Linked DNA regions of Schizosaccharomyces pombe. The main gene of each other region encodes a partner of the protein of the gene in region 3 in a complex. Each region holds a gene or a part of one and is shown on either strand. Other genes may lie near its edges.

What was found.
Region 1: mrp2 (region 3) and mrps16 share a complex: the UniProt entries of both Schizosaccharomyces pombe proteins name them as parts of the mitochondrial small ribosomal subunit.
Region 2: mrp2 (region 3) and nam9 share a complex: the UniProt entries of both Schizosaccharomyces pombe proteins name them as parts of the mitochondrial small ribosomal subunit.
Region 4: mrp2 (region 3) and rsm24 share a complex: the UniProt entries of both Schizosaccharomyces pombe proteins name them as parts of the mitochondrial small ribosomal subunit.

What each region holds. Positions count from the first base shown.
Region 1 is NC_003423.3:553,834-562,255, forward strand, and holds mrps16 (mitochondrial ribosomal protein subunit S16), read left to right. Parts: upstream 1-1,991; 5' UTR 1,992-2,059; coding exon 2,060-2,136; exon of another isoform or gene 2,137-2,565; coding exon 2,566-2,746; intron 2,747-3,012; coding exon 3,013-3,045; 3' UTR 3,046-3,415; downstream 3,416-8,422. Other genes in the region: sre2 (membrane-tethered transcription factor), read right to left, coding at 1-291; osh42 (oxysterol binding protein), read right to left, coding at 4,502-5,392, 5,440-5,641, 6,170-6,195, 6,318-6,330, 6,398-6,459; Ca(2+) transporter Rsn1, read right to left, coding at 7,671-8,422. UniProt on the Schizosaccharomyces pombe protein: Component of the mitochondrial ribosome (mitoribosome), a dedicated translation machinery responsible for the synthesis of mitochondrial genome-encoded proteins, including at least some of the essential transmembrane subunits of the mitochondrial respiratory chain.
Region 2 is NC_003423.3:3,727,643-3,735,766, reverse strand, and holds nam9 (mitochondrial 37S ribosomal protein uS4m), read left to right. Parts: upstream 1-6,417; 5' UTR 6,418-6,478; coding exon 6,479-6,514; intron 6,515-6,567; coding exon 6,568-7,515; 3' UTR 7,516-7,572; downstream 7,573-8,124. Other genes in the region: SPOM_SPBC13G1.05 (folding protein), read right to left, coding at 1-975; abh1 (alpha-ketoglutarate-dependent dioxygenase), read left to right, coding at 2,005-2,773, 2,837-2,961; protein Pex14, read left to right, coding at 3,415-3,687, 3,748-4,335; mpg2 (mannose-1-phosphate guanyltransferase), read right to left, coding at 4,543-5,706, 5,807-5,846, 5,910-5,950; rns1 (putative RNA-binding protein), read left to right, coding at 7,699-7,890, 7,957-8,062, 8,110-8,124. UniProt on the Schizosaccharomyces pombe protein: Component of the mitochondrial ribosome (mitoribosome), a dedicated translation machinery responsible for the synthesis of mitochondrial genome-encoded proteins, including at least some of the essential transmembrane subunits of the mitochondrial respiratory chain.
Region 3 is NC_003424.3:2,503,025-2,511,013, reverse strand, and holds mrp2 (mitochondrial 37S ribosomal protein uS14m), read left to right. Parts: upstream 1-5,129; 5' UTR 5,130-5,169; coding exon 5,170-5,424; exon of another isoform or gene 5,425-5,473; coding exon 5,474-5,520; exon of another isoform or gene 5,521-5,561; coding exon 5,562-5,577; 3' UTR 5,578-5,749; downstream 5,750-7,989. Other genes in the region: threonine aldolase Gly1, read left to right, coding at 1,971-3,101; mitotic spindle checkpoint WD repeat protein Bub3, read left to right, coding at 3,708-4,029, 4,075-4,715; AP-3 adaptor complex subunit Apl6, read right to left, coding at 5,750-7,006, 7,057-7,989. UniProt on the Schizosaccharomyces pombe protein: Component of the mitochondrial ribosome (mitoribosome), a dedicated translation machinery responsible for the synthesis of mitochondrial genome-encoded proteins, including at least some of the essential transmembrane subunits of the mitochondrial respiratory chain.
Region 4 is NC_003424.3:559,534-567,614, reverse strand, and holds rsm24 (mitochondrial 37S ribosomal protein mS35), read right to left. Parts: upstream 3,690-8,081; 5' UTR 3,446-3,689; coding exon 3,151-3,445; intron 3,142-3,150; exon of another isoform or gene 3,063-3,141; coding exon 2,581-3,062; 3' UTR 2,542-2,580; downstream 1-2,541. Other genes in the region: phospholipase D Pld1, read left to right, coding at 1-2,447; exosome subunit Rrp4, read left to right, coding at 5,648-6,637; tryptophan-tRNA ligase Wrs1, read left to right, coding at 7,111-8,081. UniProt on the Schizosaccharomyces pombe protein: Component of the mitochondrial ribosome (mitoribosome), a dedicated translation machinery responsible for the synthesis of mitochondrial genome-encoded proteins, including at least some of the essential transmembrane subunits of the mitochondrial respiratory chain.

The DNA.
Region 1 (8,422 bases), on a different chromosome or scaffold from region 3:
GTTAAGATTGAAGGCAGTAGAAGCGTCCATTGAATTGGAATTGACTTGATATGGATACGCAGACGCCATAGAGTAAGATCGTGGTATACCACGAGTTCCTACAGAGGGCACGTGGCTTATAGGGTATGAAGAAGATGCTGAAGACGAAACTATGGATGGGTGCTTGAAATCCATGATATTTGAGCCATCCACATAACTGGATGGATCAGCGTTTTCAGTGGGATTGGAAATCGCAGTGTTTTCGAGTTGACGATGAATATCCTTGAGCGACGAGTGTTGGGAAGGACACATAGCGAAGCGAATACCAAACAGTCGTTTTGGATATGAGTCAAGGAGAACGAAAGGTATTTATAGGTATTTAAAGAATGAAAAGTTTCCAAGACAAAAAGAGAAAGATTAAAAAAAGAAAAAAGAAAAAACACTCAGTAGTAATGGAGAGAATTCGAATTTCCGAACTTCTTGTTGATGAAACGCTAACCGCAAAAAAAAATTTAACAATACACCGTTTAATAAACGAGAAATTAGAAGAAAAGCGGGATTATTTCAAAAAAGGAGAGGAAGCGAAAACTAAAGGAAAGATAGAATGGGTGGAAATTGTAGTAGGAAAGCAAATAAAATTGGAACCCAAGAAAACGCCTATAGTAGTTGTCTTTGAGCGAAGGAAAGTATAAAACAACAAAAAATTAGGTTTTTCCTCTTTCAAGTTGAATTATTATGAAACCGGGTTGAACAGGAATCTTCAAGGTAAGCGACCCCAAGAACGCACTCGTTCACGAACTAACCAAGTAAACGAGACAAGATGAACAAGCTTGACAGGATAAACAATGAAAGAAGAAAAACTTATAAAAACTAAATATATAAAGGGGAATATAGTAAAAATTGGCCCCCAAGCTGCGTTATAAGGAATTGACAGCAATTATATGATGACGGAGAAGAAAGGAGTAGAAACTGACGCAAGGCAGGATGTAAACGTCAAATCTTCAGGTGTTCCGATATGTAATGAGTCTTAAAACTGCTACTAGCCTAAAACCTAGCACCGTTCATCCACAAAGCGATGTCCAAAGAAACGTTTCAATCCGATGTTCCTATTTTGCTTGAATCCGTCGACACAACACACTGACTTGACAGTAACCGGGAGTACGATGGCAAAAATCAATGTCAGTGGATCCAGCAATTCGTAACAACACCAAAAGAATGGGCAATTCAGAACAAGATCAAAATGCTAACTAAAAGAAGCCTAGGTGTTGGGAAATCTCAAAATACCAATTAACCGAACTCCCCAAACAACGATTCGTACGAAAGCAACAAAAACCCTCTAAGATTCAATCAATAGCTTTCTTGATCACTAGAAATTTTCAAGAACGGATGGAGTTAAATATTCAACAGGGATGCGCAATCTACGCGAGTCTTAAGTTATGTTTTGCTGTCGCTAAGTAGAATTTATGGGAGGGAGGAAAAAGCTAAAAGTAGACGAAGCCGCTTAAGCTAAGGAATGTCTATAGCGATTAACATTACGTTATAAGGATTGCGTGGTGAAAAGAAGGTTGGCAAACTACGCATTACATGAGTAACGTTCGTTTATGGTATCTCGTATACGCATTCTACAATCGCTTACAGTATTCCTGTTTAGCAAACTCGATACAAGCAAAGCATACCTTGAACAACGTGGAGAATGCTCGCTTTGTAGTATTCGTGTTACCGTAATTCGTGCTGTATCTCACTCCGGGGGTAGTGAATATGATCAATTCACACTGCTTATAAAGAGAAATAGAGTCAGCAGGAAGTAGAAAGATAAATGGAAGGAAAAGAACGTAATTTCTATCCCAGAAAACGTTTGAAATGATCTTTTGAAATTATGTTTTGTTTGTAAGTATGAACGAAAAGCAAGGCACAACGCTATTTTATAAACAACGGAGTGCACAATACGATACGTCCATCTGCTTTCCATCCTTGATACCTGCATTGTCTTCGTGTTTACTCAAGTTGCTCTTAACCATACTCCTACCACCAAGTGGGAAAGACGGGATTTGTAGGACTCGTTGAAAACCGGCTCTTCTCAATGGTAGTAAAAATTCGTTTGGCGCGTCATGGCGTCAGAAATAGACCTTTTTACCATATCGTAGTTGCGAATGCATGGTAAGTAGGATGAAAACATACCTAGACGGTTGTTTCGTGTTTTACAACACTTGTAGCGGTTCACGTAAAGGGGAAAGTTTTTGTACAGGATTTAGTAAGGGAGATGGCTTGATGTGGGTTATGAAAGAATGGAAGATAAAATGCTAAAAGACTGCTTTTTTTTGACGGTTCCTTTGGCTCTAAATTGCGATCTTTTTTAGAAGCTTTAGTTTTCAGGTATTCCTGGATGCTCTCATCTATTTAATCTAGTCTTTCTACATAGTATTCAAAATGCCAAGGACACCAACCACAATTTTTCTTATTAATTGACTATTTATTGTGGTTTGGCCCCCTTGGCCTCTATTAACTGTTTACATATCACCTGTACATCCTTTTTTTTCTCCTTCATCCATTCCTGTCTTTTGGTTCGACTTTGTTAACTCAATATAGGAAAGCACCTCAAGCCAAACCTATCGAAACCATCGGCACTTTTGATCCCATCCCTAAGAAGATTGATTCTCAGGACTCCATTCCTCGTATAAAAGATATCCAGCTCAACGTTGAACGTTTTAAATATTGGATAAGTGTAGGAGCACAACCATCCGACACCGTCCGCTCTTTAGCTGAAAAGGTATGCCCAAGCTCTCTTTATCTATTTTTATGACTAGTCCAAATTCGTTAAACTTTCTTTCAACTCTCTTTTTTGACTAAAATTTTCGACCCGCTTGCGATATACCGCTCGGGTGATTTTTCTCATGTTCCCTAACTGCCCGGCTTTCCGAAATGGAGTGTAGGATCTCATCCCTGTTTTCGTTACGATTTGGCTACTAATTTACTTGTTTTACTTCTTTCTATCAATCTATCAATTCTTACTAACGTTACTTTTTTCACTTTTAGTTCCAGTTGCTTCCTAAAAAACCCGTTTCTTGAAACTCACTATAATCGTTATTGCTCAAGTCATGACATTTCTTTTTTACGACCACTTCACAATGTCTAGATATCTTTAACACATTTTTTATTTTTTTTTACACTTTATCTCTGTGATCACGCTAATTACCTCTCTCAACTAAATTTCATAATTTTTGACCGATTTTACCCTTCCGTACTGTTTTTTTAAAACCACGTTTTTTGGCTGAGTGCGATATTTGTTTTCTTTACGATTCTTTTTATTACAATATCACCTTTTTTTTTTTAATTCCTTCTCCACATTATCGTTAGCGTAGTGATATCTTAATTTCTAAATTTTTTAAAGTGTCTATCTATCTGAGGTTATGCGCTAGTTGAAAGCGCTCATAATTTGATGCTATCCATTTGTAATTACTTGTTGCTTTGTACTTAAAATTGTTTGGTAATGAGAAATCTTGGTACCAATATTTTGCCTTTGTAATTTTTAGCTTTTGCGTTTATGGTTAAAATGGATCTTCACTTTATACTGAAACTTCATTTCGTTTACTGATGTTATACCCTTATTTTTTTAGAAACAAATTAACAGCTTCATTTCAAATATTTAGGTTAATATCGGTGTATCTATTATTGCTTAGATTTTTGGACTTTCCGTTCGGAAACGGCAATGCGCTTTGTTGCTTTCCTGATTTCCTCATTCGTTTAATTGGAACTGAACACGTTCATTAATAGCCAATTGCAATAGTTGTACAATTCTAACAAATCATTCCTGTACTTCCGTTGAATTTATAAAAGACTTGTCTCAAAGGATTTAAAATCGTTCAACAATGAATATTAACAACTTAATCGTTTGTAACAAAATATTATAAATGGTGAACTAGCCTTATAAGCTAATTTATTAACTGTACCAGAAGCAATTTACTTTGGTATTATTACCATATTTCATCAACCAGTCCAACTCTACACCACTACATTTATTCATGCACCGAACAGTGTAATTTTCAATTAATGCATTAAATACAAGCTAAACATCACAAACCAAATAGTATGTAAAAATAAACTTGAAAAAGAAAGCGAGAAATCACTTAATGAAAAAAAAAAATCTACTACCAAATCTCGAAATGAGTATAGATCAAATTGCAATGCTTTTTCCCTGACATGCATATGTGTAACCGACATATAAGTAATAAACTAGTATACCGCATAGATAATCTAAATGAAAAGTGCTGATTTCGTACTAAAAGCCAACCGTTAAAAGAACCTTTAGTAAAATCGTTGATCGTAAAACTTCAGTTGAACGTTTAAAGAGCGAAAGATACCTATATACTTTCAAGCATTATTTTAAGCCCTGATTGCACAACCAAGAGAGCTTTTGGGCCAATCCTCCCAAAAGTAGAAAAAAGGACACTGTTAAGGACGGAAAACTATAGCAGCCCGAAAAGCACACATAAATTTAAGAAACAAAAATATAAGTAACACAAATTTATTCCATCCGTTTGACAGGTTGTTCTCCTGCTGGCAATGAAGGATGAGTGTCACCAATGTAAATCCAGAAGCCTGGTTCAATAACTTCTAAAACAGCTTGGGCTAAAGCATTCCTGGCATCGCTATCATGCTCTTCCCATTTGAAGTATCTTCTGGCCCAAACTGCTCCCTCTGCTTCTTCTTTCTTACGCATATCACGTTGTGATTGTTCGATTGTAGACTTTTTCGAGCTTACAATATCATAATTACCACTGGCTAAGGCAGCGGACACTTCTTTCCAAACATTTCGAGACTCCCAGTCTCCCATTTCTGATTCAGGCTTGACGGTAATAGGAGTAGCTTCAAGACTAGGGATGCTTAAGAAAAAAATGGTACTTTTCAGACTAGGAATAGTCAATTTAGATTCGCCAGTCCATACACCTTCAACAATATAATCAGGATCTTCATTTTTCTCAAAGATAGTAGCCTTGAAAGAATTCTTGGTACCTCTGAAGTAACCTCGGCCGGAATAATCGATCTTTGTAATATAATTTGTGTTGCTAACAATATAAGTCGAACCGTACAATTCAATATAAGGTGCCATAAACCACAGTCCTTCAAGGGAGATATTGGGCAGAGTTATATAATATGTCTCATTATACTTTTCAAGATGAACACGAAGCTGGCCGAGTTGGTTGACGTATACAGTTCGTCCTGAAAATCCACTTCTGTATTTATTATGCGTATCAACGGTGATACCGGCTTCCTTACAAACCACATGAGCAGCTGATTCAGGTCCGTGATGGGATACTTGCTCGGCAGTAAGCTCCACTTTACCCTTGCTAGAATCCCATGACCCATAAAAAAGCTCTCCCAAAATAGGGTTCAACGGTTTCTTTTCAGTACCATACTGAAATTTTGGTTAACATTACATGATAAAATTTTATAAAGACGTACGTTCTTATTCCGGGATGCGTATTCACGACTAAGACCAGTTATGTACCACTTGAGAACAGCCAGCATACGTTCTTTAGGAGTGGGAAAATCGACAATTGTTACGAATAGCTCAGGAAACTCAAACCAATAAGACATGTATTCGAGCAAAGATGTCCCTGATAAAATGAAAGAAGGAGCTGAAAGTGTGGACAAGTCACCAGTACTGTGAAGTAAAGTTAGTATTCAAATACAGATTAAAAAGAGCAATCGACATGAGAAAAAGACAATTCCTCTCTGAAAAACAAAAAGAAAAAAACTAGAAAGTTATGAGATGGAAAATTAAGAAATGGCGCTGGAAAGTCCTCTTTAATGTTAGACTCGAAAGGACAATAGCACATATCAATATGAAAGCTAAAGGCATGACAAGCAAAGAACATGAGTAAAAAACAATTTAACAACAGCAAAAATAAGCACTTGTCCATATTTTGACGCGTTATTTCATTATCTAAACCAGCCAGCCATTTGAAAGCCGGGCAAATTGCTGGAAATAAGACAATTATAAGCAATTTTACGCTTAAAAAAAGTTCCTTTTATATTTCAAATTTTTACAAAAATCACATAGATTTGAATGAAACTAAAAATCGAATGAACATTTCCCGTTGGAAAAGAATGCATCGTGTTCAAATTTACCTTTTTTTTTTCTCAAGATACCATATTTCCAATTTTGTTTCTTTTAACTGAATATACTTACAATGTAGCCAAGTTCTTGATGAACCCCTTTTTTGAAGAAAAAGTAAGTAAAATGTTACAATGTCAAAGAAAAAAGTAAGATTCCTTGCATAAGGCTGAAAGCAGATTGATTATGCCTTCAATCTTATAGGACTCAGTACAATTCATACCATCCAAGTGCTCCTATCATAAGGAAAAAACATGTTAGTAAAATGTAAACATTTGATTAAAGAACATATGTGGTACTTACTTAGAAATGGGTTCATTACCAGATTGCACAGTCTCTTCCATTTGTTCTGATGTTTCCGACATTGTCGATCGTGTAATTAAATGCTATCGTGTTTGGTAAAAGAATAAAATCGACAGACCATGGATTGGGCGATGTTGGTTCGACTGCTCTTGCTTAACGCAGTCCTACTATTCTCCTACGTCAAAATAGTGTCATTTTACAAAGGGTACACCATTCTGCACTGTAATTATACTGCAGTAATGACTTTATTATTTAAATTATTTAACGTGGTTTATCGTGGTATATAAAAGCTGCAAAATGGTCAGTAGAAGGCACGAAGGATCGTAAATAAATGACTATTTATGAGCAAGCAAAATACATACGAAGCTTTTCTTATTTGATTAGCATTCTTTAATACATTATGTATAATATTTTTTACATAGAAAGGTTGTATGCCTTGCATATTTATACCTAGCAGATTCGAAACTGCCAGCTGGTAGACGCATGTTTTTACGACTTTTTAACATAATCGATGTTTGTTGAAACTAATTGTTTATTTAATTATTTAAACAGTTAAAGTACAAAAAAACTTCAAGCGCGCCTCCATTTCTAACAAACTACTACTCATTATTGTCAAAGCAATCTATTCAAATGTACCAAACTATCTGTTATAATTACAAGGTTATGGTGGGAAAAGTAATCTTGTTGGGAAGAATTGATTTTAACATAAAGTTAGCTATTGCCGAACGATAAATCACATGTTCGTTTCAACAAAAATGACATTTGTTGCAAAGGTATAAAAAGTTGTGCGAAATAAGAAAAGACAAAAAACATGATCTTATGACAAGAAATGTTAAAAAAAAAAAAAAAAAAAAAAAAAATTGGGATGGGATGAAAAGAAAGGTATGCAGACATAAACAACAATAAGCAAAGGGAAAATATAAGGAGAACGAAAGAAAACAACGCAAAAGAGATAACCAAACAGATGGCTATCAAATTAATGAATGAATCAAACGCAAAATAATCAAGTAAACACCACAACAAAATCTAGGTGATTCATCTTCATTTAAAAAGGTCGGAGAAGAGACCTAAAGAATACAAGCACACTTAAATTCTTCTCAAGAGCTCACAAATAAGAAACGGAGCATAGAAAACAAATGTTAAGCAAAACAAAATCGGTTGAGAATTAAGGAAATAAAAAGTTTTCAAATATGTATCTTTGCCAAAGTAAATTTGAACAGTTATAAAGTTTTTGTACAAAAGCTCGAATTCCAAGGAAAAGTTTAAGTTACCATTAAAAAATGTGGTAATATTTATCATAATGTTCGGAGACATTGATTGGTGTAATTTCCGTACTTTGGGATTCAAGAGTTTCTGGTATACTAATTTGAGAATCTTGGGTAATAGATTCTGTTAAAGGCAGCTCCTCCTCATTCAATCTAGCTCTTAAAGAAACACCACGGCTACGAGTATAAGATCGGGACAAATTTTTCTTGAGTTGCTGAACTTGTTGCTGATCATGCACTTCTTTGGCTGTATCCACATTATCAATATCAACAAAATCAACGTTTTCTAATGGTTCTTCCTCACCACGTAAGTGCTTCTCAGAAGCATCATCAGAGTCAGTAGCAAAATCAAACTTGTTATGTGTTTCCGTACGTCCGCTGTAAAACAAGGGAAGAAGTGCACGAGCATCAGATCGAACCATCGGCACGAGCAATGGGGCATAGGTGGATGGATGACCAAAGCACATTTCACTTTCACTAATCTCATTTTCCAAGGGCTCCACAACCTTCATGTATGGATCCTCAATCATGTAATGAGATTTTGGATCAAGAGCAAACATGCACCATATCTTAAAGGCAATGGCAAAGGAAAAGTTTGGAATTATGCAATAAGCGCGAACACGACCTCCCTGTACCCACAAGCATAAAAACAGAATTATGTTTGCTAATTCTAATCCCAGTAAAATACGATTCACCACTGGGCGCCAATACCCACCACCACTTTCGGTTGAGGAATTTGATACGTACATCAAAATATATT
Region 2 (8,124 bases), on a different chromosome or scaffold from region 3:
GATTTGATACAGAAGAACCAATGTATGTAAAACCATGTACGCTAGAGAAATTGCAAAATAATAGAAAAATGTCATCCAGCCAGCTGGATTCCAAAAATTGAAAGAAAGAATATGATTAGAGAACAAACAGTCAAGAACATCCTGACCCAAAGCGCAACACAATCTGTCCGCAATTTCTAAGACATTATACAAAACATAAAATCGTATACTAGCCTGAGCACGTATAATATGGTAAAGCCGACTAACGTCAATTTTTCGAATGAGAATACTAGTAGAGAATATTAAAAGAAGTTTTAAGAGATCAATTTTTCGGCTCCTAGGTAATGATCGGTTTGGTGAGCTATTACGATGGAAAAAAGTTGAAAATAAACCCTGAAAAATGCAACGGCTTAGGGTAAAAAAAGATATTAAGACCCGAATGGGAAATAATGTAAAAATATAAAGGAAGCTGTCGACACTAACAAACCATCCAAATAAAAATGTCTTTTCAATTGCATATGGTGTAGCCAGAAAGTTTTCAACATGCTTTTCTTTAATAGGATTTGCGGGCACAGTATCATTAGCCAAAAGCTCAAAGCATATGTAATTCCAAAAGTTTTGAATTTGAAGTTTACTCGCCCGTAATCTGGAAATGGGTTTGTCTTGGTTGCCAGTTACTGTGGGCTGATCATTCGTTTTACTAAAGAATGTCGTAGAATAGGACCTAGTAATAGGAATAACGTTTTTCTTAGCACTAGTAGAAGCTGATCTTCTAGGATATTCACTTGAAGAACTTCGTTTTGTCAGTGCATATCGGGATTTCGGAAGAGGAACAGCAAGAACAGGCTCGTTTAGATCAGGTTCTTCTTTCTCTGGTATAACGGATTCATTGTCTTTTCCTCCGTCACGTTTATTTGGAAGAAAACGAGAGGTTAACGATGATTCATTTTCGGATTCAAGTGGGTCAGCTTGTCCAGGTGAGGTATTGCTACCCATGGTTTTTTAGCTTTTTTAGGTAAGGTTAAAAGGAGATTATGGGGATTTGGATTTGTGGAGATGTTTCAGCTAAGAAAATGTGTTGATTCCAGTGTAGTGAAGTTTTAATCGAAATAAGAACGATATTTCATGAATTGTGTAATAATCGTTCGTTTGTTTAGAACCAAAAACACATAATTTTATTTTCAAGTCTTGATACTGTTTCCGAGTCTCTTCAATTTACATTCAACCTTGACTGCCAGATACCAAAGTTATATAATCTTACCACAATGTTGGTTAAAGTAAGTACAGGCAAAGATACCAAAAAAGACACAAATCAGTTGAATTATTGCGAATAAAAATTATTTATTCTCTAAATAATGTTGATGTTGAATTGTTGACATAGGTTACTTTAAGATATTTTCAGACTGCGAGTTTAAAAACAAAATCGATTGACATCGGTATATTTTCTATTGGACCTACGTAAATGAATAAATTACTATAAAAAACATTTCATCTCATTCAAGTCTTAAACTGATCCCATCACTTTATTAAAAGTAAAATCTTCTTATTTTTTTCATTCACGACACTGTGTTTATACGAATTGTTTTATAGGGAATTTTGGCAGTGATTATAACTCAATTTGTAGTTACGTATAAAAGTGTTCTATTCTTTAACAACTTCGAATGTTTGCCTGTTTCTTCTATTTTTTGTATGATAAAATACCACTTTTCGGTAAAATGAATAGTATTGTTGGGTCTTGCTGCTTTAAAAGGGTTAACCATTTAAAGCGTATTTAAGAACTTCGCATTTAAAATATGCCAAAGTATATTAATTGAGAATATGTATAAAAGATGTAAAGGTAATAAATATTACGCATTATGGTAAAAATTGAATTAAGTTGTACTATGGTTCTTACTGTATTTAATTATCTATGACTGTCTGGGAGAAAAACCTTGCAAGTGGCCTAAACTTTTTCATTCAGTCTCTATTAAATGATCTGTCGATTTCTCCACATAAAGTTAGTTTATTGAAATGCTAGCGGGAAACATGGAACAGGCGAATGTTTTTCGTTTAGAAGAAAAACGCTATAAATGTCGTGCCGACACAATTCCTGACATGTCTGAGGTCCTTGATCCTAATGATCCCCAGTCTTTTGGATTTGAAGCTTTAGTTGAAATTAAACCTAGAGTTTTTTCTTTTCAAAAAGCTCCTGGATTATTAATTCTTAAAAACTATGTTTCATCGGAACTGCAAATGCAGCTGTTAAAATCTATAATGTTTACGCAAATTCAAGATCCTGAAAACAAGACCAACCTTTCACCATTTTATCAACTACCATTAGGTAATGATAGCATATGGCGCAGATATTACAATGGTGATGGAGAAAGTATCATTGACGGCCTTGGAGAAACTAAGCCTTTGACGGTTGACAGACTAGTTCATAAAAAGCTTCGATGGGTTACACTAGGTGAACAGTATGACTGGACGACGAAGGAGTATCCTGATCCTTCCAAATCTCCTGGGTTTCCCAAAGATTTAGGTGACTTTGTTGAAAAGGTTGTTAAAGAGAGCACAGATTTTTTACATTGGAAAGCTGAAGCTGCAATCGTAAATTTTTATTCTCCTGGTGACACATTGAGTGCACATATCGATGAATCTGAAGAGGATTTGACACTTCCATTAATTTCTCTCTCAATGGGTTTGGATTGCATATATTTGATCGGTACCGAGTCGAGGTCGGAAAAGCCTTCAGCTTTACGTTTACACAGTGGAGACGTTGTAATTATGACTGGAACTTCTAGAAAGGCTTTCCATGGTAAGCATTGTTCATTCAAATACCTCATTTATAGTCAATTGATTGCTTACTAACTTACCGCAGCTGTTCCTAAGATTATACCCAACTCTACGCCTAATTACCTATTGACTGGAAACAAGGCTTGGGATGGATGGATTTCAAGAAAGCGAGTGAACTTCAATGTTAGACAGGTTAGGCCTTCTAGATAATGTAAATATGGTTATTTTTAATAAAATAGAAATTGTTTTTAGGGCTTAGGAATGATTGATACCATAATTACATATATATCATGTGCTTACTTGTTTTGTCAATATTTTGTTCCTTCTATTGAACTTTCGAAAAATAATTTTTTTATTTAACACTGTATTAAACCACCAAACAATAAGAAACAATTTTTTCTTTAATTTGTCAGTTAATAACTTTCGGCGTAATATAACCAGAACAATTCATTAGCGTACTTTCACAAATTAATTTGACAAATTAAACAATTGTGTAATCCCATTCTTAAAAAAACATAAACCTCGACATTTCCAAGCTTGTTTAGAGAATTATCGTGAAATTACTATCTTGCAGTCCGGAGTTTACTCAATATATTTCAGTTGCTTATTTCCATACAACTACTAACTAGCGAATTCGGTACAAAGCATTTGTCAATTTGAAAAATGAGGGAGGATTTGTTAAGAAACTCCGTTGAATTTTTAAGAGAAAAAACTGTATTAGATGCTCCTGATGTGAAAAAGATTGAATTTCTAAAATCCAAAGGTTTAACTGCCGAAGAAATTCAAGAAGCATTCAAGCTAGCAAAAAATCCGCTATTCCCTTCTTATCCTCGATTTGAAAACACTAGTAATTTTGTTTCAAGAGATTGGAGAGATTGGTTTATTATGGGCGTTATTTCGACTGGATTTGCATGGTCGGCGTATTCATTAGTAAAGGTACGTTCAAAAAACTGAACATTTAAAATATTCGTGCTGTTTTAACATAATTAAATTTAGAAATACATAGCACCAATGTTTCGCGCACCATCTCAAAACGCTTATGAAGCTGATAAAAACGCTTTGGATGCTAAATTTCTAGAAGCTCATAAAATACTCGAAAATTTAGATGAACAAACAAGAAAGCTTTCCGAGAGAACTGAAAAACAGCAAGATGAATTGGACATTGCGTTAGATGATTTAGAAGAGACGTTGAATACTTTGAAGCGTACGTCCGAAAACCGAGATCGTGAAATAGCTAGAATCTCACAAGATGTATATACCATGAGTACTATTACTTTACCACAAAGTCTTGAGCAAATTAAGAAATCTCAAGAAGAAGCATTACAAAACCTTTCGAGAGAAATTAGCTCTCTACGATGTTTACAAACTGATTCAAAAAAAGACGACACTTTCGCTACCACATCAAACTCTTCGATACCAGTATTAGAGAATCCTTTAGATACTTCAGAAGGTTTTCAAACTAAAAAGGTTGGTACTGCCTCCCTTCCAGATTGGCAAATATCAATGCATAACGAGGCTTCTAAAAACATTGATTTCAATGATATTGATCCCGCAGAGTCTTACGTTGCAGAAGATGCTTATTGACAGTAATAAAACAAATCACTAATAACAATTAAATTCAGGATTTTTTCTAGAATAATACTTAATGTCATTTAACTGGTCTGTCAAGACGCATCTTAATCATTTAACAATCTGCATTCTGCATCAGCTAATAAATGTATATTATATAATAAAGGAGAGTCAAGTAGATATAATAAAAAGCAAGTTTGCTGCAAGGTTAAATGTAGTATCTTACATCACAATCTCACCAACCAAACCAACCTTTATTTCTTTATGAGGAAGTACAAGGCAATTTTGAACGCGTACTTCATCATGGACTATACAATCGGCGCCCATAACAGTAATAGCTTGGACTTTAACGCTGTTACGCATAATCGTAGTGGAGTGCTGGCTTGGAAGAGTTGGAGAACCTTCGACTCGAGACCATTTACCAATCTTGCAATGGCGGGAAAGAATGGAATGTAAAACAACAGCATTGGCAGAAATTTCGCAATCCTCTTGAATAATTGAGTTTCGAATACGTGCGCCATCCTCGATGCGAACACGAGCACCAATTGAAACATTGGGTCCAATCTTTGCACCTTTGCTAACAATAGCATTAGGATGAATAAAAACCGGCTGAATGATCTCAGCCTCAGTGTCGGGTTTTGGAAGAGTACCATCATGATATGCCTTTTGTAAATACAAGGAATTAGCAGGAACAGCAGAGCCAGCGGTTTTTATTTGACGCCAGAACTCAGGAGTATTATAAGCATAAATGGCTTTAGAGGAATCTGAGCACAATGGAGCAAGCACATCGGTCTCCAAACTGAGGTAGTCTTCCATTCCTTCATCCAAGGACCTGAGTTGCTTCTCGACCTCCTCAAGTCTACGCTCGTACGCTTTTTTGATTTCATCGAATATAGAGGCATCAAAGATATAAATACCACATGAAATAATATTTGAAAGATAGGAGCTTGGCTTATCAACATAATGAAGTACACGCCCAGTACTTGGTTCCTCTACAAGGCAACCGAAGTTAGAAGCATCTTCTTTACTAACCTTAGTAGCCATTAAAGTAACTAAAGCTTTCTTCTCGTGATGAACGTTTAACAATTCTTGTAAGGGAAAACTGCAACACACATCCGCATGCATAACAAAAACATTAGAAGTATGTCCTTTAAGGATTTGATCACGGAAATGGTATAAGCCGCCACCAGTTCCTAAGCAGTTGTATTCACGGAGATACTTGATACGATTGAAACTGGGGAAATGCGAAGCTACTTCGTTGATAAAATCTTTGAAAACGCTTTCATCGTAGAAACCAACCAAAAAGACATCTTTAACACTTTCAATCTTGGATAAAGCCGCCAAATGATGGTAAATCATTTCTCGTCCTCCAATTTTAAACAAAGGCTAATTTAGTTAGCAAAATAGCTCTTATGTTTCAAATGCAACTAGAAAGTAAAACTGGATTACGTATTTTACCAACATATAAATTCTAAATAAGACGTACTTTAGGGACATCAAACGAAAGAGGGCGGAATCGGGTACCACTGCAAAGTAATTAGTTACTGATATTCACGCGTTTAATAGACTTATTTTTCGTTGGTACGTACCGAGATGGACCCCCGACCAGAATGACAGCAGAGGAAATCATAATAGCAATTTAATACTAAAAAATCAATAATGAGTATCAAAATCACCAAAAACGAAAGAGATATACGCCTCTTGAAACTTGGTGTGTGGTTCTGTGCAAGTCCTGTCCAGCTCTCCTTTGTTTAATAAGGAAGGTAGCGCTATGAGCTAACTTCTGCCAGTTCATATTTGCACTTAATAGCCTGGCTGCAGAAGATAATACTCTATGTAACAATGAAATACTAATGTAAATCAATTTAGTTCAAAAACCCATGATCTAAAAATTGTGCTGCAGGCTGAGGCACTTTGCCAGCCGTGAGGAACTTAATGCTCATCATCAGCTGTTTTGCAGAAAATAGTAAAGCACCTTCTAGCTTTGGTACAAATTATAATGCATTAAAACTTAAATAAATAAAATTTACTAATTGAATTTTCGAGTAAAAGTAGCCTTTTTAAAAATTTGTTCTCTTTAATCACCTTTATGAATTTACCATCAACTTCACGCACTACGCTGGAAGATTGGACTCTCGTGACAAAGACTTAATTGCTCATGAAGGGGAAATTTAGGTTCTCTTTAAAGCGCGGTGTATGTTATATATGAAATTATTGATTTTTTCGCTTTTATTAATACATATCTAGCTTTTGCGTCCGTCGTGGAACAAATACAATATATACAACATTGCAAGAAAACAACTACCTGCTCTGAATAATAGAACTTTATATCAAAAAAAATGGAATGCGAAGAAGGAAACAAGGTCTTATCATGGTCCTCAATTACGCGAATATCAACTGAAAAATGCCTTCCGCCCAAAATTGGAGGGGGTTATTTCTTCCTTAGATAATAAGCTTCCCATCCCTTTTATGAATCAGACTTATGCATTTTTGGAATCCCGTTTAGACATGTCTATTCATCGAGCGTTATTTGCGTCTAGCGCTTTACAGGCTCGCCAACTGGTGCTTCATGGAAAAGTGCACGTAAACGGAAAACCTGAACGCCGTGCCTATCGTCAACTCTTACCTGGTGATTTAGTAACTGTTGATCAAAAATCAGTAATGAATTGTGTTTCTGCCTCTAGTAACAATACCCCTTCTATACAGGATGGGAAGCAAACTGAACAGGTGTCCTCTAAGGATGGAGAAAATGAAAAAAAAAAGGATAATGATGATGATTTATTTGAACAGACTTCTAATGGAAAGTTGCCCTCTATCAATGAAACAATTTCCAACTTTGTTCCTAAACCGTTTATGTCACTAATGGCATTTATCCCTGCTTATTTAGAAGTTTGCTTCCGCACTTGTTCCTTTGTTTATGTGCGTGATCCAGTTGCTCGTCCTGGCTTAACGGAAGTTCCTTCTCCATTTCCTGAAGACTTGCACGCTTTAGCCTATACATACTATATCAGAAGTCGTAATATGCGGCAAGGAGCAGCTAGATGTCAGGCCAGACGGCTTATTCCGCAGAAAGTACGCGATGCATCATTTTATCAAGGACCTCCTGAATTATATAAAAAACGAAATGTTTCTCCCAAAGAAGCATTCTCTCATCGGTATCCAGTTCGTCAAGGAAAGTTGACGAAACTCGTATAAATCGAATAAATGAACTCCTCTCAAAAGTTTAGTAATAAAATATAAAACATTCTCAATTATGCTTTTTGTAATACTATGTTGATTTCCACTTTTGTTTTCCTGCTCTATGAAGTAACTGCCCTGTCTACTGCTATCCACGTAACCAAATCTTATACACATACAAGAACTGGCACATCTTTTTTCATGTACCAAAAGGAGGCCTTTTATCGTGGACGTAGCTCAACAAGACAATTTAACAATACCCGATCTCCATCTGGACGTTCAGCGTCGCGTTCTTCCAATTTCTCACATCGGTCTAGTAGTCGTGATTCTTTTTCCTCGAATAGATCTTACTCGAGTTCGCTTTCCAGATCTCCAGAAGAACCATTGCGAACAGTACGTTTTCCATGTATAATTAGTTATTTAAGGCATACTAATCGTTTCTAATACGATGCAAAATAGATTCTTGTGGAAAATTTGACGCGTAATGTCACTAAAGAACATATAGCAGAAATATTTGGGATTTATGGACTAATTGATCATATTTTCATGCCAATTTATAAAAAATGTGAGTGAGCTTTTATTTTTTATGAATTACACCCACTAACTTTGCAGCTGAATTGAATAAAG
Region 3 (7,989 bases):
AGAAACAATAGCTTAACTACATATTAAGGCCATTTCGCTATATTTAATTCGACACGCTAATTATCACTATGTTTTTTCCTAATAAAAAGTTACGTTAGTTAATGGATACAACAAAAGAATTTGTAGTAATTGAATGAATATAAGGTGGGTCTATGGGTACGAATGGTAAATTGACGATCTTATATTATAAGCCAGAGAACATTTGAGACTGTTACACGCATATATCGAGGGCTATCCTTCTTAGAATATCACTCTACTTTATTCGGATAACTCAAGTTTTCAAGTCAAAAGAAAGCATCTAGAAAATGATTGTTCTTAGTTACATACTTTTGTCGAAAAGCTGAAACTGTCACAAATCTTCTGATTTTTTGTGAAAAAATCTAATTTCTATAAGAAAAAAACAAGGGACCAACCGGATTTGAACCAGTGACCTGGGGATCTGCAATCCCTCACTCTAACCACTGAGCTATGACCCCTTGCGACAATTGCAAGGCAAAAAATGAATTATAAGATCTTTTTACGATTTTATTAAGTTGAGCAATTAGAAATCAAAGTTTCCGCTAAGGCTCGAAAGAGAATCTTGCCAAGCTTTGAATATATTTATAAAGGTTGCTTTAAATAGCGCGAACGCAACTATCTGAACAATTTTTAACGGAAACCGCTTCAGCAGTAAGAAGAAAATATTTCTATTTTAGCATTCAAAATGCAGTTACTAAGTATGATTGATTTCAAGGCTTATTATAAACCGGCATTTTACAATGTACTTAGTAATTTATGGAGATGAGAACTCCTTAAAATATAGCTTCGTGATCCTTCAAATCCTATCCAACTCAATTTACTTGAAAAATTTGAAATTTCCGGCGCTCGTTAATTATCAAACTGAAAAACCAGCTAAAAGAATGCGGGCATTATTCACCGAATAGCCTCAAAGTATCTAACGATATCGATAAGTTATCTACAGGTGCAAAACTTCCACTGTTATAATTGTAACTTTTTCAAGCGGGCTTCGGTTAACAGAATTTTATAAACATGTACAAATTGCTCATTTCCTAAGCAATCCAGAATTTTGCCTTCACCGACAAATTACTGATGAGGATCACGGCGAAATGGCAAACTTGAAAAATGTAAATTGCATCTTGCTTCGAAAGCTATTTCACGCTAAATTAATAATTTTATAGTAAAAGAATAAACAATGCTGATCTCAAAATTTGTATACATTTGATAAAAAGGCATAATTTTGTTGGGTTCGATGCTTAGTAATAAAATTATAGTTCGAGAATATATGGTTACTATATGGCTAGAGAAAAATGATATTTTTTGATTATTTTGCGATTATATGTGTTGCCAAATTATAAAGCCTGCTATATCCTGGCGGATCTAATTTCTTACTCCGGGCGCTCACAACATTTTGGCAGTTTATTCCGTTATCCATTAAAGTGGTAAATTTTTTGGAATGGTTTGAAAGTTAACCTTAACCATCTCCCAGTTGTGGCACCAACACCAACAATTTGGTATTTTTGTATAATTATCAATTTATAAGTTTTATTTATAATTGATATTTTGAAAAAAAAGTACTAGTTACTTATCTTCAAACTGAAAAGGTTGTGATTTGCGATTTTCTTACTATTGTAAAAAGTCGCTTTTTTTTTATTTAAAAACGCCCAGATTTTAAAGAGAAAGTGCCTTCAACTGCATCTTTACTTTATCAAAAGATAATTTCTGGATAAGGAAAAAATTTAACTGTTAAATTTCGTTAAAGATTCTTTTGGTTTTGGGCTTCAACAGTCTAAAAAATTTTTTGTTTTTTTTCTCGTTGAACTGCTGATCTTCAACGATTTATTAGATCTGTAAAATAAATATATTTTTGTTGTTTATTTTACATTGAAAACAATTTTTGTGTCTTGCGGTCAAACTTAGCTTGCAGGTGTTTAAATTTAGTTTCGTCAATTCCTTTTTGATAAAAAAAAAATATGAGCGGATCCGTTACTTCTACGACTACCGAAACAAGATTATGCCCTTCCAACCAAGGGAGCGCTAAAAAGTATCGTCCTTGGAATGATTTCCGTAGTGACACTTTGACTGTTCCTACCGATGAAATGCGTCGCATCATGTATGAGGCCTCTGATGGTGATTGCGTTTATGAGGAAGATGAGGATACTAGAAAGTTGGAAGTTTATGTTGCAAAGTTGACTGGTAAGGAAGCTGCTTTGTTCGTAACATCTGGTACTCAAGGTAATCAGTTGTGTATTCGTAGTCATTTGCATCAACCTCCTCATAGTATCATTTGTGATGATCGCGCCCATATTTATAACTGGGAAGCGGGTGCAATTGGTTTGTTTACGCAAGCTATTGTTCGTCCTATTTCTCCAAAAAATAATGTATATATTACTGCCGAGGAAATTGAGAACAAGCTTATCCTGGGAAATGATATTCACTTTTCACCCACTGGGTTGATTTGTTTAGAAAATACTATTAAAGGTGCTGTCGTTCCATTGGATGAAGTGGCTCGTATATCTGGTTTAGCTAAGGCTCACAAGATCCCCCTGCATTGCGACGGTGCTCGCTTATGGGATGCTGCTGTTGCTTCCAACGTTTCAATTAAGGAGTACTGCTCTTACTTTGATTCCGTTAGTCTTTGCCTAAGCAAAGGTCTTGCGGCTCCTGTTGGTAGCATTATTGTGGGACCACGAGACTTTATTGCTAAAGCCAAATGGTTCCGTAAGGCTTATGGTGGTGGATTGAGACAATCTGGTATGCTTGCTGCTGCAGGATTATACTCAATTCAGCATAACTTTCCTTTGTTGAAGCAGGTCCATAAATATGCTATTGAAGTCGCCGAATACGCAGAATCTCTTGGAATTGAGCTTGAAGTTCCCACTCAAAGTAACATGGTGACATTGGCCAATATCAACGTTGCTATTCTTTGCGATGAAGCCAAAAAGTCTGGAATCATTTTAATGGGACCTCGTATCGTGTTTCATATTCAGATCACTCCTGATGCTGTCGAGATTTTGAAGAACGTTTTACGTCGCACAGTTGAGCGTCAAGCAGTTGAAACCCATATTGTTGCCAAACCTGGTGAGTTTTGTGTCGGCTATTAAGGGATTTTGCACATGTCACCTAAACTCTAAGCTTTATTTTCTATTTAAATCTTCTTTCTGCTTTATCAACTAGGCAAATTTTCTCGTCGACGCTCAAATTATTTTTACAGTAGTACATTCACTTGTCAAAGTTGACTGACATCTACTATTGCCTTTCAGTTTTTTGTATGAGTATGTAGAGTTATGTGCATTTCTTTCTTTTATGATTTTTTTTCATCGCTTTAGAGTGGTATTTAGTAGAACGTAGTTGTGTTGAAACGTATTCATAGTTATGTCTTATATAACGGTTGTTACATCATATTTAAACTGTCAGAATCAGCTCCTTTGCAATTTATTTTACACAGCTATTAGCAATTCGCTTCGCTTATCTTAGATACTTGTGAGGCACAGACTGTCAAAATTTGTTGAAAAGAAGCTGAAACAGTAATTTGCGCGTATGAAAACGTAAGTATTTATGTTTAACACCTAATATAATCGGCATCGTTGGAAATTCATCTTCGTAAAATTCGGTCAATTACCATCGAACTTCGACGTTGTCCTTTTGAAGCAACATTTAAAGGCCTATACCTCGCCAAACTCCTTTTTCATGTCATCTGTCAGTCTGCCATGAATTTCTCAAAAACATTACTAAAAAATTCAAAAGACGGGATTTCAAGTGTAATATTTTCACCCTCTGTCAAAAACGAACTAATTGCAGGGTGCTGGGATGGTAGCTTACTGCATTATCAAATCTCGGAAAATCCCGAACTTTTAGGGAAATACGATTTATCAAGTCCTATTCTTTCTTTAGAATATACAGATGAAAAAACTGCTTTAGTAGGAAATTTAGATGGGACAGTTACTACCCTCGATCTTAATACGCGAAACCATGAGTTTTTAGGAAACCACGGTAAGGGGGTATCGTGCATTTCTAAGTTGCGTTTGGAAAGTAAGATATATATTTTATTAGCCAGCTATTCTATTAACATTTTAGACTGTTTCATTAGTGGGTCTTGGGACAAATCATTTCGTGTTTGGGATGTTCGCGTAAAGCAACCTGTCGAGGGACAGGATATAGGAAAAAAAATTTTTGCAAGTAGCTCGAGAGATAATATATTGGTTCTAGGCTGTTCAGAAAGAGAAAATTTGGTGTACGATATTCGAAATTTAAAACTTCCATTTCAGCGACGTCCTTCTAGTTTTAAGTATATGACTCGAAGTGTTTGCTGTAACCAAAATTTTGAGGGATTCGTTTCTTCCAGCATTGAGGGAAGGACATCTGTTGAATATATTAACCCGTCTCAGGAAGCGCAAAGCAAAAATTTTACCTTTAAATGCCATCGGCAGATACAAAAGGACTACGATATTGTTTATCCAGTTAACGACCTAAAATTTCATCCGATTCATCAAACATTGGCAACTGCTGGGGGAGATGGCGTTGTTGCGTTTTGGGATATACAAGTCCGAAAACGATTAAGAGTGTTAAATCCTTCAAAGATCAATATATCATCTATTTCTTTTAATGTTGACGGAAGCATGCTTGCAATTGCCACTTGTGCTCAAGAAGAAGCCGCTGGTAATATCTATGTTCATGCTTTGGAATCCAACTTTGCAGCTCCAAAGTTAAAGTCATGAAATCGCTCATCAAAAAGCTTCATCCATGTAAAATCTTATGCAGATTCTTTTACTGCATACATATGAAATTTATATTATTTGAAGCACTCCTATTTAATGTTGTAAATGTTCAATATTTCCTCAGTGCTTCAAAGTGATAATTACGGTATTTATTATTTTTTATTCCACTATATATATTAAGTTAATAAGCAATTAATATAAACGCAAGACCATATTTATATAAAGAACGGGTTACGATTAAAAATACTTAATATAAAAACAATGTGACACTATTTGGTAGAAATTATCTAATTTACTTTGTTTCTCTTATTCACATTGTTTATAGTTATTAAAATAACTATAATTATACAGATCGCTAGCGCAGTTCGTAATTTATTTTGACTATTTCATCTACTGAGAATACACTCACAATTTGAACACAACAGAGAAGCCTTCTAAACCAGAAATAAAAAATATGAGGGCTTTGGGCCACCTGAAGCATAAAGCATTTCGTGATTTATTATGTAGGAGACTTTTTGCTGAACACGAAGTTGAACGTCAAAGCAATCTCTATATATATAGAAATCCTGAGCTACCTCTTCGGGTGCGTTTAGAAGCCAAAAAGCGGATTGAGGCTTTACCGACTAATGCACATCCTACAAAAATAAAAAATCGCTGTATTGAGACAGGTAGAGGCCGAGGTGTATTTCGTGCGTTTGGACTTGCAAGGGTACGATTATAATGTCATATAAATGCATTTTTGATGCTGACTATTTCAGTTTCCTTTTCGACTTAAAGCACTAGCTAATAAATTACCCGGAGTTCGGTAAGAATAAGCATTTTTACTTTTGTCACTAATCCATTCAGCAAGGCATCATGGTAATAATCGTTGTTTGTATTTCAATCCATGATAAGCGTTATTGAAATAAAAAGCTTTAATTATCTTCCGTGAATCCATCATGTTTATTATTAGCTAATATTTATTCGCCGTTTAAATGAAGTACAATTATTTGCATGATTACATTCCAAAACTGAATATTTACATTATCAATTGTTTATGATTGCCAATAGTTAGGTTCAGGTTCTGTGAGCGGCCTATCCATTATACTTTTAGTAGATATAGAACTGGTATTGTTGTTCTCTGTATCTTCATCAGGTGTACTATTTTTTTCGTTGTCTTCCTCTTGAGAAGTATCATCCGTTTCTTCATCTTCACTTTCACTGGTTGATGTTTCATATTCTCCTTCAGAACTTTCAGAAGTTTCACTAGCATAAAATTCTTCAAGCGTTTGCTGGCCAACAAATTTTGGACGGTTAATTGCGTTAGTATCTCCAAAATCACGTTTAAAGTTATCAGAAGATAATGCTTTCACACCCGGTGAATTGTTTGAATAAATATTTCCCGTATGAGGGTTTATTGGCAAAACATCCTTGATACCTTCTCGGACAGAATCAGGCGGTAAATCAGAGACATCAGCCCAGTTAGGGATTGGCTCATATCCCATCACGTCTTCATTCAAACATAAACTAGCGGTACCAATGCAGTAGTCCCGAGAAGCAATAATTTCTTTTTGACTATTCCCCTTGCTTTCCAATACGATGCGCCTAGTAAATTCAGAACTCGGTGTACTAGCTAGTTCTTTGTAAAACCTAGCTCTATCTCGTAAATCGTAACTCATGTCAAAGTGTATCAAAGATAAAACATAATTAAAAAGTAGTGACACGACATCATCTCTTGACTCTAAATCGTTTTGCTTCTCTTCAGAATGAGACAAAACATATAGTCTTACCGATAATTCGAGAATTTGATACTTCACTTCTAATGTCTCATCAGCAAAAGTTTTAACAGCAATGCGTAGCACATCAGGGACTAGTCGCGGTATGATTAGTATATGCTCCGAAATAAGCCATAGTGTAACGGATTTGGCCCGCGGTACTTCCAAAGTTTCATACGTTGCAGCTAAATACTGCAGATATATTTCTTTAGGATCATTATGAATGAGAAGCCGAAGTGAAGAGGCAGCTTCTGTCACGATAAGGCTATTATGTGATTTAAGTAACAGCAATAAAGTGTTAAGACAAGAGGGGGCCATAGAAATGTTAGCACTAGCAAAATCACCCAATGCCTTTACCGCCGTTGATGCAACAGAAGGATTCGGATGACTGTTAATGTAATACAATAATTCGGGAAGGATTTGCGATGAATTTTGAGCATCCAATAAACGCGACAATATGTTGATTTTTAAAAGGCACGTATCGTCACTGTCAGAAGCAATTAGAAAGAAACTCTTTATATGGTTTTTAAATAATTCCTAATATCATGTTAGAGTCGTTTAAATACAGGGCAATGATATATACTTACCGGTGTTTTATATACAATTTGAGAAATATATCGTAAAGTTGTCGTCCTAACAATTGGCTTTTCGAGCAAAAGCTGCAACAATGGTTCAACGATTAAGTGCATTTGATTTGAAGGAGCTAGATAGTAAAAAGCACGAGCACCTGCTATAATAGTACTCGGAAGAAGAGAGAAAAAGCAAGACTTTATTGACTCAAGTAGTTCCTTTAAATCTGAATGTGTTGAAGGAGTTGAAGGCTCGGGTAATGTAAGTCTGGCATATCTAACCAATGTTTTCAAAGCCACTACTTTGTCCCAGTCATTCATTTGCGGGAAAAGAGTACATATCCTATGATAATATGGATGAATAATTTCTAATTTCTCAGGACAAACGACTTCAAAAGTAAATAATGCAGCTGGGACTACAATAGGACTATTATCAGATAAAAGCGTTTTGATGTGCTCTTCCAATTGCGATTTATATGAAGGGTCAAGAGAATAGCACTTTGTAATTGCCAATGCCGCACTTTGGCGAACGCGATCAGCTGTATCAGTAATGCATTGCTGAATTGCTAAAAGAACGATTCCATTAATGGCAGGCACCCTGATACTGCTCATAACTCTAATTGCGGTAGATCTAGTTAACGGGTTTTTATCATACAGTGTTTTTTGAACAGTATTAACAGACAGCAAAGCAAGATCTGGATTGAACTCAGCATACTGGAGTAAATAAATATGGACCAGGCGTCGTATTTCCGGATTTTCTGAAGCAACTAACTTCACAACATCTGGGAAGTATAACGACATATTTTCGCCGTGCATCATTTGAGCTAAAATGAAGTTAATCGCCTCTAATTTGCCAGCATCAGAGTTGGAGTTCAAGAGGCGTAATAAATCGGAGTGGGAAAGCTCATTTTCTTCGAAAGAAAGACTCGAGCTTTTTGCTATCTGCTTTGC
Region 4 (8,081 bases), 1.9 Mb from region 3:
AGCGCTGTATTATGATTCATGGATGGTGGTTAAGTCCTGAATTGCAAATGCGACGACCTTATAGTATGGCTCACAAGTGGAGAATTGATCGTATCCTTAATGAAAAGGCACATGAAGGAGTCATGGTGTACATAATGATCTATCGCAATATTGACGCTACCATACCCATAGACTCATTCCATACTAAGGAACATCTTCAATCTCTACATCCGAATATTTATGTTATCCGCTCTCCTTCTCACTTTCGCCAAAACGCACTCTTTTGGGCTCATCATGAGAAGCTTGTGGTAGTGGATGATGCTATAACTTTTATTGGTGGTATTGATCTTTGTTTCGGCAGGTATGATACTCCTCAACATATTCTGTATGATGACAAGCCTGTTGCTGATAAAACTGGTTTATGCGAGCAAACTTGGAGGGGAAAAGATTATTCAAATGCTCGCGTTCATGATTTTTTTGACCTTACTGAACCTTACAAAGATATGTATGACCGATTGGCGGTACCTCGTATGGGTTGGCATGATGTCTCTATGTGCATCATTGGTCAACCTGCTCGAGATGCTGCGCGACACTTTGTTCAGCGATGGAATTATCTTATTCAATGCAAGAAGCCTGCCCGGAAAACACCTTTGCTAATTCCTCCTCCTGATTTTACCACAGACCAATTAACTGATAGCCAATTGACCGGTACCTGCGAAGTACAAGTCCTGAGATCTGCCGGACTATGGTCTTTAGGTTTAGTTGATACTGTTGAGCAAAGTATTCAGAATGCTTATGTTACGTGCATAGAAAAGAGCGAACATTTTATTTATATTGAAAATCAATTTTTCGTAACCTCTACCACTTGTGAAGGTACGACGATAGAAAATCGTGTTGGAGATGCTTTAGTTGAGAGGATTATAAGGGCTCACAAAAATAATGAAAAATGGCGTGGTGTTATAATGATTCCGTTGCTTCCCGGTTTTGAAGGTCAGATAGATTTACAAGAGGGCGGTAGTCTTAGGTTGATTGTGGAATGTCAATATCGCAGCATTTGCCATGGTGAACATTCAATATTTGGAAGGTTAAATGCCAAGGGTATTGATGGCAGCAAGTACTTGCGTTTTTATGGTTTGCGCGGTTGGGCCCATTTGGGAGAAAACCATGAACTTGTGACTGAAATGATCTATGTTCATGCTAAAATTCTTATTGCAGACGATCGAGTTGCGGTCATTGGTTCCGCAAACATTAATGAACGTTCTTTGCTTGGTAACCGCGATTCTGAAATTGCTGCGGTAATTAGAGATACTCTAACCATTGACTCCAAGATGGACGGTAAGCCCTATAAAGTTGGAAAATTTGCACACACTCTTCGGAAACGACTTATGAGGGAGCACTTAGGTTTAGAGACCGATGTGCTTGAACAACGAGAATACAACATGGATGGCTTGGATCGCGATACAGAGTGGAAACGTGTAGAAGTCTGGACTCCTGATGAAGGCAATGCCATTAATGGTTCTGCTTACACTGCTGAAGAGTTGAAAATGAAATATCGTTCTCAGAGTCAATTTACCACTACTCCAGACATCTTACGAAAAGCTGAAAAGAGTATGAAGAAACTAGATCAACGTGTCAGTTTAATTCCTTCTTCGATTGAATTCAATATTAAAACTCAAAAGGACAAGGTCGAGTTTGAAAAGAACTACGAGAAGTCTAAAAAAGGGCCTGATGTTATAGCCAACGCCCTAGTAGGCGGCATCCCCTTATCACTGAAAACAAAGGAGGACTCATTATATGAACTTTCCAAGTTCTCTCAATGTGGGGAGGATCAACGTCCAATGGTACTTAAAGACCCTGATCATCTAGTGCCTGAACCCAGTCGTCCACACTGTGGAAATGGACTTGTGTTTTATGATGATATACCATTGCTTGAGGTGAATCCTATTAGTGGAGAAACAATTCCTAAATTTGACGCTTCAAGCTTTGAGGACCCCGTCTGCGATGAATTTTTTGAAGACATATGGTCTAAAGTGGCTTCAAACAATACTACTATTTATCGGCACATATTTCGATGTGTACCGGATGACGAGATGCTAACGTGGGAATCATATAATGAGTGGAAAAAATATGGAAAACGCTTTAAAGAAGAGCAAGCCCGCTGGCGTCAGGAGGAGTTGTCAAATCTACACGAAACTCATGAAAAGTCAGAGAATGATCCAAAAAATCCAAAGGCTGGTTCCCAAGGTAGTGGTAACACGAGTGCAAGTGAAGATTCGAAGACAGAGAAACCAAAAACCCGTACTAATAATGGTTTACAAGTTCCTGACAAACGTGTAGTTTACGACTTACTACGTGGCATTCGGGGACAGTTGGTAGAACTTCCATTAAAATGGATGTCTACCGAATCAAACGCAAGAAATTGGCTCAGTAGTATTGACAAAATCCCTCCGTTAGAAATTTATGATTAGAGAAACAGTACCTTTTATACTACAGTTTTATTTCATCTTAATATAGTAATGAGAAGGATTAATTCCTTCAATATTAGCTTACATTATAGACTCGTTAATTTTAATAGTAACTTAAACAAACTTTCCTTTCATATTATTCATCTGTAGTTGCTATCGATTCTCGTTCAAGTACTGTATTATGTGATTGCTTGCCAATCGTTGTTTTCTTTTTAGAAGTGAGTGTAGTTGCGTCTGCGAGCCATTCCTGTGGCATCCGTTTATCACACTTCTTGTATTTCCAATGGCCAGTATTCAATGGGACATGTGAAAATTTTTCAGCATTTCTCTTCGATTCTTCAATGAGCGAAGTTAATATCTTTATAAGATGATATTTATTTTGTAGTGCAGAAGAATACTTGTCGGAAGATATTCTGACTAAATCCTCCTCCGGATTATATCTTGGTCCAACCAATAATCGTAATACATGTCGTTGTTTCTCCTCTAGCAAAGGAATATTCGTAACTTTAAATGTAACAACGACCTTCGGATTCATTTTCTCAAACGAAGACATTTGGACATCAGATTCAAACCTAAAGATCTGGCTATCAGCAGGCTTTTTAAAAGACTGTGTGTAAGCTATAATTGTCAGAGAAAATGGAACATTAAGCATATTAAAGTGATTGTGAAATAGAATTCCTAAGGTAAAACTACCCAGTAAACTTACGCGTAAGTCCAGGAAGCTCATAAGCAGCTTTCCTATACAATTCACGTATGACCTCGTGCTCTTGTATTTTCTGCCATGATAGATTATTGGAATGGACGTTATCATCAATTGTTTTCAATTCCTTCTCGTCATGAGGCTCGATTCCAAAAGGCGCTGACACATAAGCACTTCGCTTAAATCTTGTAAAATAGAAAACAGAGAAAGCTCTACTAGTAGCACAAAAGCTTGATTTGGAAAGTTGCCCGAGGAATATGGCATCTGCTTTCAATAAAGATAAAAGGGGATTAAAAGCCATTTTATAACCACCCAAAACACTAAATATATGTAATATTTGTATTATAAAAAAAAATAAACCACATTTAACGAATGCGCAGTAGTGTATGATACCGGATTTTATATTTTCTTTGAAACGAAAAGAGTGGCCGTTATAAATGGAAATCTGAATCTAACAAAAACTTTTTTTCTAAAATTTAACAATCCAAATGCTCAAAACAATTAAATAAGCTACAAAAAGGTACTTGAAGGGGATAGTGAAGAATGTATAAACATTGTTGTCCTTGACTTGACTTCGTTGTATATAATTATAACACACTAAATCTTAGTAGTTAGAACCAGTAAAAACCACATAATAGACTGGAATGAAGGTTAGTAACGTAAAATAGCATCGATTCTACTCAATTGCATTTATAACATCTATTGAATAAAAACACCTAATAATACTTTCAAGCTTTTTTTTTTCTTAGGAATTTAATAGCACTTGCTTCCCATCCTTTTTTGGCATTCGCTGTTTAAAAAGTGTGTTAGTTATCCTTATATTTTGATTTTCGTAAGCAAGACTACACTACGTTACGCTGCGTATCACTATATGTCATCTGTTAGGATAGATTTAAGATTCGTTTACTAATAATTGCTGATAACTATTCTTTTGAGTACTTGTTTGTGTTTGATCATGTTTACTCCAAAAGATTATAAACAGAGTACATCTGAACAGAAACAGGTTCGTTTATATGTTAATTAATGGCAGGTAACAACGTAACCCATGTATAAATACTTACAACAAATTGCTACCCACATCACACCTATATATAATATGATATTACCGATCACAATGAAAACTCACAGAAGTCAAACAAGATACTACAATGCGCAGCTAGATAATATTGCACTTTCATTACTAGCGCTATTTAGTAAATAATTAAAAGAAGTTCGATTCAATTGTAAGTTTCATGAGAAAACAGGAAACTCCATTTAAGAATGATTTAAATATAAGAAAAAGACGCAATGTTTTTAAGAAAATGGGGTAAACAGAGTGATGGCAAGTCATCTGCTCAGCGTCTAGTCATTATTATTCCCTGTATGTGTTAATTCAAGCCTATCAAAGTAAAATAAAAAATTTTTTACGAAATAATCTTTTATTGAACTTGATTTAAAAAATCTGTATTTTTTATTTAACTATATTATTATGAACGTGAAATAGTGCTTAATTGGGTTCTTTAACCGTGATGTTTACAATGTTTGTATTGTATTACTTTTAAGTTAAGTAAAAACTAAATACCTTGACCCACATAACTTGTTCTTTGCAAAAATGTTAAGGAGCTGAGTATTTTAGAGTACTCAACACGAATGGAAGTCAATGCATATAACAATCTGTAGACAGTAATATTAGACTGTTAATGTTTACATGAGTCATTTGTAAAAAAAAAAAAAAAAAAAAAAAAATTATAAAATAATTGAATAAATAACCTATTACAGAAATCTTCAGACAACGATATTTTATTAATTTATTCCATTGCAATATTGCTTTAATACAATTTGGCTTGACATTGTGATGGAATTGACATGGATAATTTAAAATAATTAATTAAAAATTTTGTTGAAATTAATTGACTATTAACAATTCATGAAGTATCGTAAATCTGCCCTGATAAAATAAAATTTAAAAAAGTGTTGAAAGTGTTAATGGCTTTATAATTTGTAAACTTAGCCGTTTATTAAGTTTGAATATTGATAATTATTGAAGAATAAAGCATTATTTCCATTTTTTCTTCGTTGATTCATAGCTTTCATCAGACCTCTTCTGACCAAGGTTGACTAATGTATACAATTTGATTTTAATGACAATTCTTTCTTCTTATTAATAGTTTTTGCATAATTTTTCCCCAGCTTCTTATTTAATCCATCGAATATTTCAAATTTACTAACCCATCATCATTTTACCTTTAGATATTTTACGAGGAGCAACGCGTTACTTTAGCGGTTTAAAATTCTTTAGCTTTATGAATCAGTGTAAATTTCACTTTTGCATAAACACTAGTGTAAAAGCATTACAGGAGACCAGATTTGGTTTAAATTTAGTGGCTATAGCTAATTATCCAACATAACCCGACTAATCTTGATTTGTGGAAAGGGTAGTTATTAGTTTTGTAGTTTCTAAGAATTCTAAGTCGTGGTTTGTCCCAGTATCTTCTTTTGTCGAATTCAAACGAAATACTTAAAAATGGTTACAATTTTAAAACCTGAAGAATTCTATGTTTCTAGTGAAGCTGACATCGTAAACGATGTTTCCATGACTGAAATGGAGGATGAAATAATGGAGGATGAACAGATGGGTCTTGTAGACGGAGAAGACGTTTTAGAGGAATTTGATAAATCGATACATCAAAATTTAGTTACACCCGGACAACTAGTGACTGATGATCCTCAATTTATGCGCGGTCATGGAACGTATTTCGAGGATGGAGGAATATATGCATCTGTTGCGGGATCTGTACAAAGGGTCAATAAATTGATATCCGTGAAACCTCTTCGTTCTAAGTACGTTCCCGAAATTGGTGATTTAATCATTGGGAAAATTGCTGAAGTCCAACCAAAACGCTGGAAAGTGGATATTGGTGCCAAACAGAATGCTGTGCTTATGCTCTCTTCTATTAATCTTCCTGGTGGCATTCAAAGACGAAAACTAGAGACTGATGAGCTTCAGATGCGTAGCTTTTTCCAAGAAGGCGATCTCTTAGTTGCGGAAGTTCAACAGTACTTTTCCGATGGTTCTGTATCAATTCATACACGTTCTTTAAAATATGGAAAACTCAGAAATGGTGTTTTTCTTAAGGTTCCTCCTGCGTTGGTCGTTCGATCAAAATCACATGCTTATGCTCTAGCAGGTGGAGTCGACATTATTCTTAGTGTAAATGGATATGTATGGGTTTCTAAACATAATGAAAATCAACATTCGTCAGTGAGTATTACCAGATTGGAGGAGGAAGCCTCAGAATCCATATATTCTAACGAAAACGATGAGATTGATGGGTATACCAGATTAAATATATCTCGTGTATCCATTTGCATTAAAGGGTTGGCTAGTCGCTCTCTCCCTCTGACTCAAGCCTCAATCACCAATTTTTATGAATCATCTCTTGTTTTCTCAAACCTTCAAGATTTGACTGTTCCTAAAAATATGGATCAGATAGCAATGGAAGCAATGCAGTGACTTTGAAAAGCTTTTCTGTCTCTAAAAAACAACACTTGTGCTGGACATGGGTTTATATATAAAAATAGAATTGTGAGTTTGCAAAAGTTGTTTATGATAGCTTTACTATTGATGGCAGCGGTCCCACTAATCTAATATATCAGTTTATATTTAATCATATTTTTTGTAATACATTTATTCAAATTCTTATTTAAGTTTTCGTATCGGCTTTAATTAGAGACACTACAACTGCGCTAGTTTTTCGAACGCTCTATCTCAACTAATTTAAGCACCCAGAAACAGTTATAATGAATACATTTTTATAAAGGAATCAGCAGTACTAACAGAAATTTTTTAAAGAAATTATGAAGTTACCGAATTTGTTGGCGATAAGTTAGTCATCGCTTTTGTCTGATTTACCACTTCCTCCGCCAAGCAACAAAATTTTCTGCGAACGTAGTGCGCCTTGAACAGTTTCTTTTTGAAGAGGAAAAATGTCTGTTGAGGAACAAATTGTGACGCCCTGGGATGTAAAAGGCTCTATAGTCGATGGTGAAGAGAAAGGAATCGATTATGAGCGCTTAATCGTTCAATTTGGCACTAGGAAAATTACTCCTGAACAACTTGAGCGCTTCGAAAAGCTAACTGGAAAGAAGCCTCATTTATTACTTCGTAGAGGTGCTTTCTTCTCCCATCGTGATTTTGATATGATTTTGGACCGCTATGAGCAGAAGAAACCTTTCTATTTGTATACAGGTAGAGGACCAAGTAGTGACAGCATGCATTTAGGCCATATGATTCCTTTTATGTTTTGCAAGTGGCTTCAGGATGTTTTTCAAGTGCCATTGGTCATCCAGTTAACGGACGATGAGAAGTTCTTGTTTAAGCAAGGTGTTTCCTTAGAGGATTGCCAACGATTTGCTCGTGAGAATGCTAAGGATATTATTGCTGTTGGGTTTGATCCAAAAAAGACTTTTATTTTCATGAACAGTACCTATGTTGGAGGTGCGTTTTATCAAAATGTCGTTCGTATTGCGAAATGCATTACTGCAAACCAATCCAAGGCTTGTTTCGGCTTCACCGATAGTGACTCTATTGGAAAAATACATTTTGCGTCAATTCAAGCCGCTCCTAGCTTCAGCAGCTCCTTTCCTCATATCTTTAATGGCGCCAAAGATATCCCGTGTTTGATTCCTTGTGCAATCGACCAGGATCCCTACTTCCGCTTGACGCGTGATGTTTCTGGTAGGTTGAAATTTAAGAAGCCTGCACTTTTGCATAGTCGCTTTTTCCCAGCTCTCCAAGGACCACAATCAAAAATGAGTGCCAGTAAAGATTCTTCTGCGATTTTCATGACTGATACTCCAAACAAAATTAAAAATAAGATCAACAGGCATGCTTTCTCTGGAGGTGGCGCTACAATCGAAATCCACCGTGAAAAAGGAGGTAACCCAGACGTTGATGT